Macaca mulatta: one gene and its partner. The protein of the gene in region 2 purifies or fractionates together with the protein of the main gene of each other region. This does not show direct contact. Links are inferred from orthologs where the notes say so. Each region holds a gene or a part of one and is shown on either strand. Other genes may lie near its edges.

Region 1 (5,336 bases), about 1.1 Mb from region 2:
CCCCCGGGCATGCCGGCTACGGCGCCGGGACTCAGGCCGGCCCCTAGGCCCGGGTTGGCATAGGACATGTTGAAGGACGCCGGGGTCATGTTGCCGCTCGTGGTCATGGTGTTCATGGTCATGTAGGTGTTCATGGAGTTCATGGAGCCCAGGCCTGAGTTCATGTTGCTGACCGGGACGGAGGAATAGGCCTGGAGCAGAGACAGCGAAGAAGCCCCGGAGGGCGGGGTTAGTGGTGGGCACCGGAGGGCGGCCGGCCGGGAGTTAATCCGGGGGCAAGTGCAGAGCACTTCTGCAGAACACGGGACACCCCCACCCAGGGCAAACGGCTAAGCGCCCTCCCCAGACCGAGCAAAGATGTCTTGCACGGTCGGGGGAAAATCCTAGCGCGACAGGCATGAAAGATAAGCGCTCACAGAAAATATGTCCCCAGGAAGATGTGTAATCGCCTTACACGCCAGGCTCAGGGGCTGGCTTCCAGGGCCCCCTCATCGCCTCCTCCATCCACGCTAGGCGGTCTCCAAGTCTCCACCCCAGCCAGCCTCGGCAAAGCGCTCTTTGGGGGGAAATGTCTTTAAAACTCCGAAAATAGAATTAATCTCTGACCCTCTGCTTATTCACTTCACCCTAAGGGTGCAATGGGTTCCGCGTCACAGGCCCACGGAGCGGGCCACAGGGCACCAGCTCTGTGCCCTCCTCGCCTGAGTCTGCAGGCCTGGCTGACCGCACAGCGGTTTCGGTTGTTATAGCTGACTGTTAATGAAACTCCCTGATAGAGCAAATCACCTATGGACATGGGACCCCCTGAATCATTTATTTCCCAACAAGTGGCTTTATTGTCCTAGGAGTTTTTGCTTATGGTGACTTTTTGTTTTTTATTGTATTTAGAAGTACTGTTTTCTACCTGCTTGTAGCAACTGTAATGTTAAAAAGGGAAGCAAACTCAGAAGTTAAATAAGTTTTGGAAAAATCAAACTAAAAGTACATCCATAACAGAACGGGCTGGGAGGGGGTGCCATAATAATCTCAATGTGCTATATGCATTTTATTTTAACGTGACTTTGCATGTACACCTCTGCAAGCTATTTAGAAACTCGCATTAATTTTGTCACCACTTCACCGTCCCCTATTTAAAAATACTGGTGACACAGTTTGTCAAAATAAATCTTTTTTTTCCCACATACTGATGTTGCTGCTGATGATTTCAATGCCCGGCTTTGAAATTCCGTGAGTAGTCTTGAATAATTTAAAATTCAAAAATAAAATTCTACCTATTTTCTCTTATGCTATTGTATTTCCTAATTCTCAGCTTTAATATGTTAGAAAGTACTTTCGCTAGGGGTCTCAGTTGAATGGTAGGGTCGAGATGACTGCGTCAGAATTAAATCTCTGGAAGACCTCTGAGCTGCTTTAAAAATCATCAGCAAGCGAAAATCCTTATCAATAGCAATGTGGGAATGCATTCGGTACAGTATTTTAAACATACAGAACCTAGGCATATTAAAAAGCACTCCACTGATAATTTAATAAGGAATAATGATGTCCTTAAGTTTATTTTCATCAGCAAGTATGACTCAGTTTGAAAACATGAGAACAAATAGATTTAAATAGGAACACCCAGTAAACTATGGTATGCAAATAAACTCAGAGGTAAACTTGTGAATATACAAATCTAAATAAGTTAGTTACCATCAAAATATTACGTGATTCTATATTTTTCTGTCCACGTCTTAAAATTCTTTTTTTACTTTGGGGCTTTATTTTCTTTCCCTCTTCCCAAGATTATCCAAGGCAGTTCCAATACGCGTTTTCAATAATGGTAATTAAACTTTTGGGGGGTAATAGCCAGCTGTTTCCAGAAAAATACTTTTAATAGGTGCTAGTCCTCCCTGTACCTGGTTTTCCCTGTAATCCTTTTGTGCACATTGTAAAAATAACCCCCATGAACGTGCCACCAAGGGGACAATGAAGAGAAACAGGTTCTCGGCCCGGAGTTCTGAAGAAGATTCTGGTCGCACTAGCGCCACCCAGCGGTTTTAGAGAAGGCGCACACTTCTCCCCACATAGGGCTTTTGAAGAACAAGTTTTACAAAATTTAGAAATCGTTTCATTATTGAGACACCCAACTTGGCGGCAGAGCGCTTTAATCAGAAGACGTCTGCGGATTAAACGGCGGGACGAAGAGGTCGCCTTGCGGGTATGCTCCGGCTTTCTCAGAGTTGCTTCCAACTCGCGCCAGCGTTCGCCCGCCCGCGGCACCCCGGGCCCGGCTCCTGCTCCCGCTCGCTGCTGGGAAGAGGCAAGTGCTTCCCAGGGCCGCTGTTTTCAAAGCCCGGAGTTTCCTAAAACTCCCTCTCCGGCTGCTAGAGTCGGGACAGAGCAGGGCAGCAGGTCCCGCTTCCAGGCCCGGCCAAGGCCCGGCCGGGACCACACCGGCGGGCGGGCAGCGGTGGCACCGAGGAGGCGCCCCCGGCCCGACTGTCCGCCCTGCCCGGCGCCCACCGTTCCCCGGCCTCCCCCGGCACGGGCTCCAGCGACGCCCCGCCGGCCGCCCGCCTCGTCTCGCCTCTCACCTCCTGCGTGTCCGCGTAGTAGCTGTTCCAGTCGCTGGTCTCATGCCCTTCCATCTTCACAGTCCCTAACATCCTGGAGCCACCCTGCCCAATACAACCATCCAGCCCTGTGCGAAGCGACGGGCGGCCGCGCGGCGCGGGGCGGGGGAGGGGAACCGAGTAGCTGCAGTCACCCGAGCGCCCGCGCGGGCCCAACGCCACCCCGGCGAAGAGGAAGCCCAGAGCTGCGGGGCGCGGCTTGCGAGGCGGCGGCGGCGCTGCAGGCGGGGGCAGCGCCGGGGGCAGGCGGCTGCCGCGGAGCGCGGCGCCGGGGAGCGCCTCCGCGGGAAGTGAGCGGGCGGCCTCTGCGAGGCGAGTGCAGTTGAGCTGATGTGGATCTTACGTCGCTCGAGTGCCCACCTCCTCGTCCTCTCCCCATTTGTCCGCCGCACAAAGACGCTCGCACCTACAAAGCCCGAGGTGCACCTGCAAGGCGGCCGCCCGCCAGTCCGGCCGCCGCGCCTCCCGCCCCGCCGCGCCACCGCTGCGCGCCCCCCCTCCCCCGCAACCCCTCCCCCAAGCGCGGCCCTCACTTTGTTTGCAAAGCAGTGTAATTGGTTTAGGCCCGGAGGCTAGGGAAAGAGGGAAGTGGGGTGGGAGGGGGTGTAACACCCTTTGGAAAAAGAAAAAATAGGCGGGGCCAGGCGGGCGGGCTAGGGGTCTAGATGGGAACCTCATAGCCAGAGAAGGCTGGGGGCGGTGGCGTCGGAGACTGGGCTTAGAGACTTTGTGGGCTAAGTGACCCCGGGGTCCCTCCCCAGAGGTACTTGCCACCTTCTGAGCGCGGGCTGCGGCCCAGTCTCGCGCCCCTCCTGCTCTCCTTGCCCCCTCCCTCCTGATTCCTGACCCAAAGTTCAACCCCAGGAGACTGGAGAATACAGACTTTTTTTTCTTTCTTTCTTTCCTCCTGAGCTTACGACTAGAAAAGGGAAAAAGCCCCACTTTTGCTTCGTCACTAGAAACCGGGTCATCTGAGTCAGCCGAGCCAAGTGACGTTAGGCCGACCCGGGCTCCCGGCTAGCAGAGCGGAGGCGCTGCCACGAAACTCGTACCTGCGGCTAAGAGCAGGTGAGTCACAGCACCGGTTTATATCTTTATGACATAACTTTTTTTTTTCCGCCTCGTTCCGCTCCTCTCTCCTGTCATCTGTAGCGACCATAAAGAGGAAGCAACTGAGAGCAGATGTCTGTGTGATAGGGCAGGCAGACCCAAGTCGGGCCGTCCTCCCTCTGCCGGGCTCCTCCTCCCGCCCCCCTTCAGCAGCTTCAGGGACTGAGCTGGAGACGACCGTCTGGTTTCTGATAGGAAAAGGTCAGGGGGAGGGGACATCTCCCATAACACGCGCGTTAGCTGGGAGAGCAAGGGCCTGGGCGCGGGAACGCGTGTGCACTGCGAAAGAGGTGCCAGGCAGAAGCCCGAGACTGCCCGCAGCGGCGCTTGGTCCTGTGACCCGGAGGGTCCGGGCTGAGATCTCAGGGGCTCACTTGGTTCCTAATCGGTCCTGGACGTCGGTGGGAGAGTCTCCCCAACGCAAAGTCTCTTTACTCTCCTGAGGCCCTGGGTGGTGGATTGCCCACTTGTCCTAGGAGAGAGAATACTGAAGTGACTGGGTGATAGGCAATGAGTTGGTGATAGATTGGGAGATGGTGAGTGTGTTTCTGACTGTGTGACCGTTTGTGTATTTCTGAGCACGTGTGACTGAGTGTGTTTGTTTCTGAGTGTCCTGTGACCATGGGTTTGTTGTACTGCCTGTAGAACCACTAGGTTTCCTTAAGTAACAATAAAATAAAATCTAAAGTAATTAAGAATCCGCAAAATCTTCTTGTTTTGCAAAGTTTTTAAAATGTTATTAATCTCATTTTAAGAAATATGTTTTAACTTGTTTTCCAAACAGATACCTTTTTCCCTGTGCTTTGTTCTTTTCAATCTCTTCTACTTGAAATCTGGCAAGCGAATCACTTTAAATCCCTGAACCAAACAAATCTCTTAAGTCAGCAGGGGAGCAGAGAGGGTGAAGATGTGCAGTTAAGGAAATAAAAAAGATAAAAGCATTGGATTACTTTTTTTTTTTTTTTTTTACAAAAAGGGTGGGGGATAGAAACGTCACATAAGGAAAGGAATGAATGAAATTAAATCCACCTGGACCTCAGGAGGGCAGGAACCCTCCCTAATGCAGCCTTCTCCTGTGACTGCAAGTTGTCCCATCAGTTTGTGTAAATGTATCTGCGAATTGTGTGTCAGAAACTAATTCTTTTTTGCAAAGTTCCCATCAGTAGCTGACTTTAGTTCCATTTGTAAAGTACACGGATGCTCAGCTTCCTCGGCCTGATCCGGGGGACTTTCAGTGCTAATGAGCTTCCTTGTTCCTTCTGGAGGTGATTCTCCAATACCCTCTCGGCTCTCCAATAACACGGAGCAAGACTAGGGTATTTTCTACCGAGAGTAACAATTTATAGATAGTAATAGCTTTTATAGTGCACAAAAAAGCTGGTGCTTTAAGCAGGGGGAAAACACTGTCACCTTAAATGGGGGATCAATTACAATATTAAATATTCTTTTAGCCCACTTCCCAAACCTGCTAAGTCTCATATTTTCAAAAACAAAACAAAACAAAACAAAAAGTTGTCTTAGGAAAAAAAAATCCACTTTTCATAGCATGATGGCCAAAGCGGAATGTCTTCTAGGCTTCTTCAAAGCCCAAGACCGGTGATGCAGAATGGACTC
Region 2 (5,380 bases):
CGCCGCTGTCCTGCTGCAATTGCTGCTGCGCCGCCTTGTCCTTAGCCTGGCGCTTCATTTTGTAGCGGTGGTTCTGGAACCAGATCTTGACCTGCGTGGGGGTCAGGTGGATCATGCTGGCCAGGTGCTCGCGCTCCGGCGCCGACAGGTACTTCTGTTGCTTGAAGCGTCGCTCCAGCTCGTACACCTGCGCCTGCGAGAAGAGCACTCGGCGCTTCCTGCGCGGCGCGCTTGGCAGCGGGGCCATGTTCTTGCTCACGTCCCCCAGCGAGCCCAGGCCGCCCATGCCGCTCATGTTCATGCCGCTCGCCGGGCCCATGAAGCGGGAGACTGTAAGCGACAAACGCACAGCGTCGGCCGGGGCCAGGCCGAGCCAGGCCACCCCTGTTTTCCGCGCCATTGGCCCGCCCGGCCCGCCCCAACCCGACGGCGCCCTCCTGACCCAGGCAGCCTAGCGCTGGGCCCCAAGAGGCCCATCCGCGGGGAACTGCCAGCGCCTGCCCCAGGCCGTGCCGTCGAGGGCTGCACTAGAGCGCTCACAGCCTCAACCCTGGTTGCCCTCCCTCAGTCTCAGTTCCCTCTTTCGAACCAAAAGACGCATTGGGGGAAAGGCCGCTTCTGCTCCTTTCGTGCCCAGCCCAGGTCAGAGCAATGGGATTAGCTGGCCACAGGCGGCGAACTGGGCTCAGGCAGGGAGCTGGGGTCCGACGGTAGACCCCAATTTGGAGAGGTTAGGAAAGGGGGTGTTGACTTCCAAAAGCTGGAGCCCCCAGACGCTTTGCCTCTTGGCTTCTCTCCTGTCGGCCTCAGTGAGGGCACCTGCTCGGCCCCTTAGAGTCCCCTCTGGAACTGCGAGTCCTCCCACCTGCCCAGACTCCGCTGGAGAGAGGGCCGGGACGGGCGCTCGAGTGCCTCCCAACAGGGCAGCCTCCCTCCTGGCCGGGCCTAGCCTCTCCGCGCTCTGCTCGCCCCTGCTCCTTGAGCTCGGGGTCGCTTCCCTCGGCTCCCCGAGGTCTTCTGCGCGGAACAGAACTGCCAGTCCACCGCGCCTAGGAAACGCCGAGTACCCGCATCTGACCGCAGGACCCCAGCGCTACCAAGTGCCTGCTCTTGGATCCCCAGCCAAGCAGCGTGAAGCATCCCCAGCTCCCGCACCCAAGTCCCTGGCGCCGCTGCCGGGCCGCCCTCCCTGATGCCCAGCGCGCAGCCTGCCGGCGCCGCGCCTTCTGGACGGCTCTCGCCTCATCTCCTGAGCTCAGCCCGCGGCCCCGCAGTGGGGCGGCCTCACTTACTGGCGGGGAAGCGCGGGTCTGGGTTGGCGCCGTACCATCCGGGGCCAGAGGCGCTGTTCCTCATGGTGTCCTGGTACGGCGGCAGCTCGCTCATGTTGCCCAGGTTGCCGTTGCAGTAGCCCCCCACGGCGGAGTGCGAGAGCTGGGGCACCCCCGCCGCCGTCATGTGGTAGGCGGCGGTGACGGCGCCGTGGTGCCCCACGGCGTGCTGCTGCATGGCCGCGGCCGGCGGTGCCGCCTGGCCCTGCCTGTACGCCGCCAGCGGAGCCCCCAGGCCGCCGCCCTCCATGCCCACTTTCTTGTAGCTTTCCTCCAGGGGACTCAAGATGTCAGACACTGAGAACGGAGTCGTGTGCTTTGGACTCATCGACATGATTCGGCGGCGGCTGGAGGAGGAAGGAAGAGGAGGAAAAAAAAGGGAGAGGGGGAAGGCGAAGCCTCGCTGCTTTTTTTTTCTCCCTTTGCCAAATATTCTGGTGTTACCTTAACGCCGATCTTGTTGGAGGTACACGTAACGGAGTGGACCGAGTCCTCCTTAATTGGCTTGAGTGGAGGCTCGGGGGCTGCCTCGCGTTTGTTTTAGCCCGGCGCCAGGTTTTAGGCAGCCACCAGAGGCGGGGCGTAAGCGCTAAAGCAACAAGACAATAGAAGCCTACATCTTGCCCGAGATAATTAGCTTACATGCTGATGACAAGGTAAACACCTTTAAGTTTCACTTGTCAGGATTTTTAGGTCTCAAAAGAGAGAGAGAGAGGCAGAGACGAGACCCAAAGCATTCCCCCCTCCCTTGGACACCCCCACCCCCATTTTTTGTGGGGTACCAGCGGAGCGCGGGGAGGAGGTGGAGGGGTGGGGAAGGAGGAGGGAACCGAGAGCGGGGAGGGCAGGAGGTGGGGTGGGGGAGTAACCGAGGAGGAGAGATGGTTGGGAGGAAGGAAGGTGAATGCTGCTTTGCAACCAACTTGCTGAGTTACAAAGTGGAACCACTTTCCAATTCGGTCGGGGTTCCCCGGACATGAACAGGTCTTTAGGAGAAGAGGGCCGAGGGACGGGGTGGGGGTTTCACCTGAGCCTGCCGGGGCTGCTCCTCCCTCCCGCCGCGGCCTCCCAGCCCCGCGCCTTCCCACAGCCTCCGGACCACATCGGGCTTCGCTGCGCTGAGCCCCAGTCGCCAACAAATGAGCGAGCGAGTCTGGGGACGAACCCTGGGGCCGCACTGTTGGTCTACGTGTCTGTCAGTCTGTCTGCCTCTCTTCTGCCGCCGTCAGAGGGACACCTCTGCTCCCCGCCCCCTTTCCCCCTACCCGAGAGAATCCGAGCGGGCGGAGGGGGCGCTGAGTAGGGGATCGACTGCCTCCCGGAGGCTGTCCCGGATCCCCGAGCCACCACCCGCCCCCGCAGCTCAGTGGTTTTTCAGTGGGCCACCCCCACCAACACGCCTCCCCCCAGGTCTTTCCCCACCCCCACCCCCGGCCGAGCAAACACAGCACTGGCCCCCCGAGCTGGGATGATGGGAAGGGGTCTCACGGGAGGGTCCGTCACTGAAGTTGCCCCACCTCGAACAAACCTGGTGTCCCTGACCCTCGCCCATCTCCCAGACACGCGGGGTTCTGGGGCTGAAGCTGACTTTCCGAGGACATCACAGCCCCAGCACCCGAGCCCAGAGCCACGCTGTTTTCCCCTCCGATGCTTCAGGGAGGGCGCGGGCAGGGAGCGGAGTGAGTGCCCGCCAGTCTGTTGCCGGGCGGAACTGAGCCTGAACCCCGGCGGCGGGAGCGCTGGCCAGGAGGGGGCGAATGCCGAGGTGCGGGAAGCTCAGCGGGCGGGAGGCTGGGCTGAGGCTCGCCTCCGCCCGCAGCTCAGCCATGCAAAAGTGCACTTGCTTCCCGGGAATAACCAAATATCTTTGTTTAAAGTGGTGGCGTAAATGGCCAGTCGCTTTGTGGCCACGCTGGATATTAGTAGATGAGGATCATTCTGCTTCAATTGGGCGCCTCTCATCCGACGAGCAAGAAACTGCTTAGGAGGAAGTGGGTTTCCTGTCTGCGCGTTCCCAGGCTTCAAGTGTGGGCCCCGCGCCTTGAGGGTCCTTGGGCGCCTGGCGAGGGGGAGCTGTGGGCTGCGATCCCCAGCGGAGTCGGGGGTGTCCCCCGCGTTGTTCGGACCAGGCCGGGGCCTGCAGCCGAGTCGACTACCGAGTGGAGCCCTGAACGGCGCGGATTTTGAGACCGACTCCGGTTTTTTTCCGTGGATTTTAAACGTTTTTATTATTGTTTTTGTTTTGCTTTCTTTTTGGTTGTTTTAGCCTCCTCTGCGCGCCGGGGGCTGGGAGGGCAGAGCGCTCCTCGGCCGGGCCTGGCGGGTACCTGCAAGACAACCGCGCTGGTCAAGGAGCTTCTCGAATTTAGTTTTTGTTTTCACATTTTCTTTCCCCTCCTTGTAGAGAGGGAGCTCCTGATGATGATGAACAGGCAGTTTTGAGCTACTTAATTCATCCAGGCTCCCTTTTTAAAATTATTAATAGCAATTATAGTAGAGAAAGTTTTATTTGTTTTTAAAGATTTCAGCCCTGTCCTTGAAGAGTGCTCTTACTCCCTCAATACAAAGCCAACGTCTATACTAACATTGGCTTTTCTCACAGCCTACCTTCTTTACCAGGCTAAAGAAAGCTCAGGGCACCCTCCGCCCTCCCACCTGCGCCCGCGTTTTTGTGCGGTCCCCACGGCAGTGCTGGGGAGGCCACTCTACGTTTGCGCAGGGAGATGCGCTCGCCGCTTGTGTTGCGAAAGACCAGCGCGAAGCCCCGCTCCTTGCCCTTCCTTCCCAGGGGCTTCTCTGGGGGGCGCTCTCAGGACCGGACGAACTGAGCATTGATTACTGTGGTGGCTAAGCAAGGAGGGGAGGCGACGCCGGGCTTAAGCGAACCACAGAGGAGAACTGGCAACGCTGAATACAGACCTTGTCTGCAGGCACGACCTGGCCGGGCCTGCGTCCCGAATGGGGTCTGATTTCGAAGGCGGGGTGGGTTTCCCTGTCACCCAGCTTCTTTCTCTGACTCGCCATTATTTCATAGTTGTTGGTAAGTTTAAGAAACACCAAGTGTAGAATGTTGTACATCTCTCCCAGTCTCAACACCATTTAGAAATGGAGATCAATCTTCACAATGTTTTTGTGAGATTCAAGTAAGATAGAGCACATCAAAGTGCTTTGAAAGCTTTAAATGTTTTTCAGCTCAGTGCCAGCACTGAAGATGCGGTAGTTATTATCATGACGATCCCCATCCCCTCTTTAGGTCCCCAGACCTGAGTAAAAGGAAGAGTTGGGTGAATCTTCCACAGCCCCTGGGTCTTCGTCCCTCGGCAGCTTTTCAACCTCTCAGCAGGCCACAGGCGCACGTGGCTGGCAGCTCCCTGGCCTCCGGCTCTGAGAGTCCCGGGGCAACCGGGCCTGCAGTTCTCGAGGAAACCCCCCTCCCCGTTCTGGACAAGGAACCCCCTCCCCAAGAACCGCGCAGCAGGTGGCGAGTCTGGGAGCTGAACTGGAGCCAGGTGGCGAATCTGGGAGCTGAACTGGAGCGGAGCTCGAAGTGGCTGGGGCGGGCAAAGATTCCCGCTTCACTCTGGGACCAACTGGAACGGCGCTTCAACCTCTGCCTGCAGGGGTGCTTCTCGCGCGCACCAGCAAGCTCTCGTCTCCACCTCGCCTGGGCCTTTGCAGCGCCCTGCCGCCCAGGCTTCAGCACCTCTCCTACCCTAACCTTCTCAACGCGCGGCTCTGCCTTCTTCACCAGTACCTCTGCACTGCCAAAAATAAGCCCGGAGACTAAGGCACCTGTGGGGAAGAGAAGGATATCTGTATCTCCGAGCTTATCCAAGCAAAGACCTCGAGAGTCCCTCCCATGGCCCAAAACACCTCCTTTTGACCGAAGAGCGTCCTTTCTTTCCGCCGCCTCCTAGACTCATGCTAAATAGGGCAGACCCCGGCTAACCAGTGATTTTTTTTTTCCATGAATACGAATAACCCCGATTCCACTTCGCGAAGTCTGCGCGTCTTCCTTTATCCCGCAACTAACTTGCTCCGGGGTGGAG

The links.
Region 1: the proteins of NKX2-1 (region 2) and FOXA1 purify together in Homo sapiens (affinity purification with western blotting; 3 studies listed by BioGRID and IntAct, with this or other methods). This does not show direct contact. The link is inferred for Macaca mulatta from reciprocal best matches to the Homo sapiens genes NKX2-1 and FOXA1.

What each region holds. Positions count from the first base shown.
Region 1 is NC_133412.1:110,733,481-110,738,816, forward strand, and holds the start of FOXA1 (hepatocyte nuclear factor 3-alpha), read right to left. Parts: upstream 3,097-5,336; 5' UTR 2,646-3,096; coding exon 2,574-2,645; intron 192-2,573; coding exon 1-191. UniProt on the Homo sapiens protein: Transcription factor that is involved in embryonic development, establishment of tissue-specific gene expression and regulation of gene expression in differentiated tissues.
Region 2 is NC_133412.1:109,634,512-109,639,891, forward strand, and holds the start of NKX2-1 (homeobox protein Nkx-2.1), read right to left. Parts: upstream 3,333-5,380; 5' UTR 2,860-3,332; intron 2,593-2,859; 5' UTR 2,436-2,592; coding exon 2,359-2,435; intron 1,988-2,358; coding exon of another isoform or gene 1,974-1,987; exon of another isoform or gene 1,776-1,973; intron 1,679-1,775; coding exon 1,293-1,678; intron 331-1,292; coding exon 1-330. Other genes in the region: uncharacterized protein LOC144330237, read left to right, coding at 1,974-1,987, 4,585-5,248. UniProt on the Homo sapiens protein: Transcription factor that binds and activates the promoter of thyroid specific genes such as thyroglobulin, thyroperoxidase, and thyrotropin receptor. Crucial in the maintenance of the thyroid differentiation phenotype.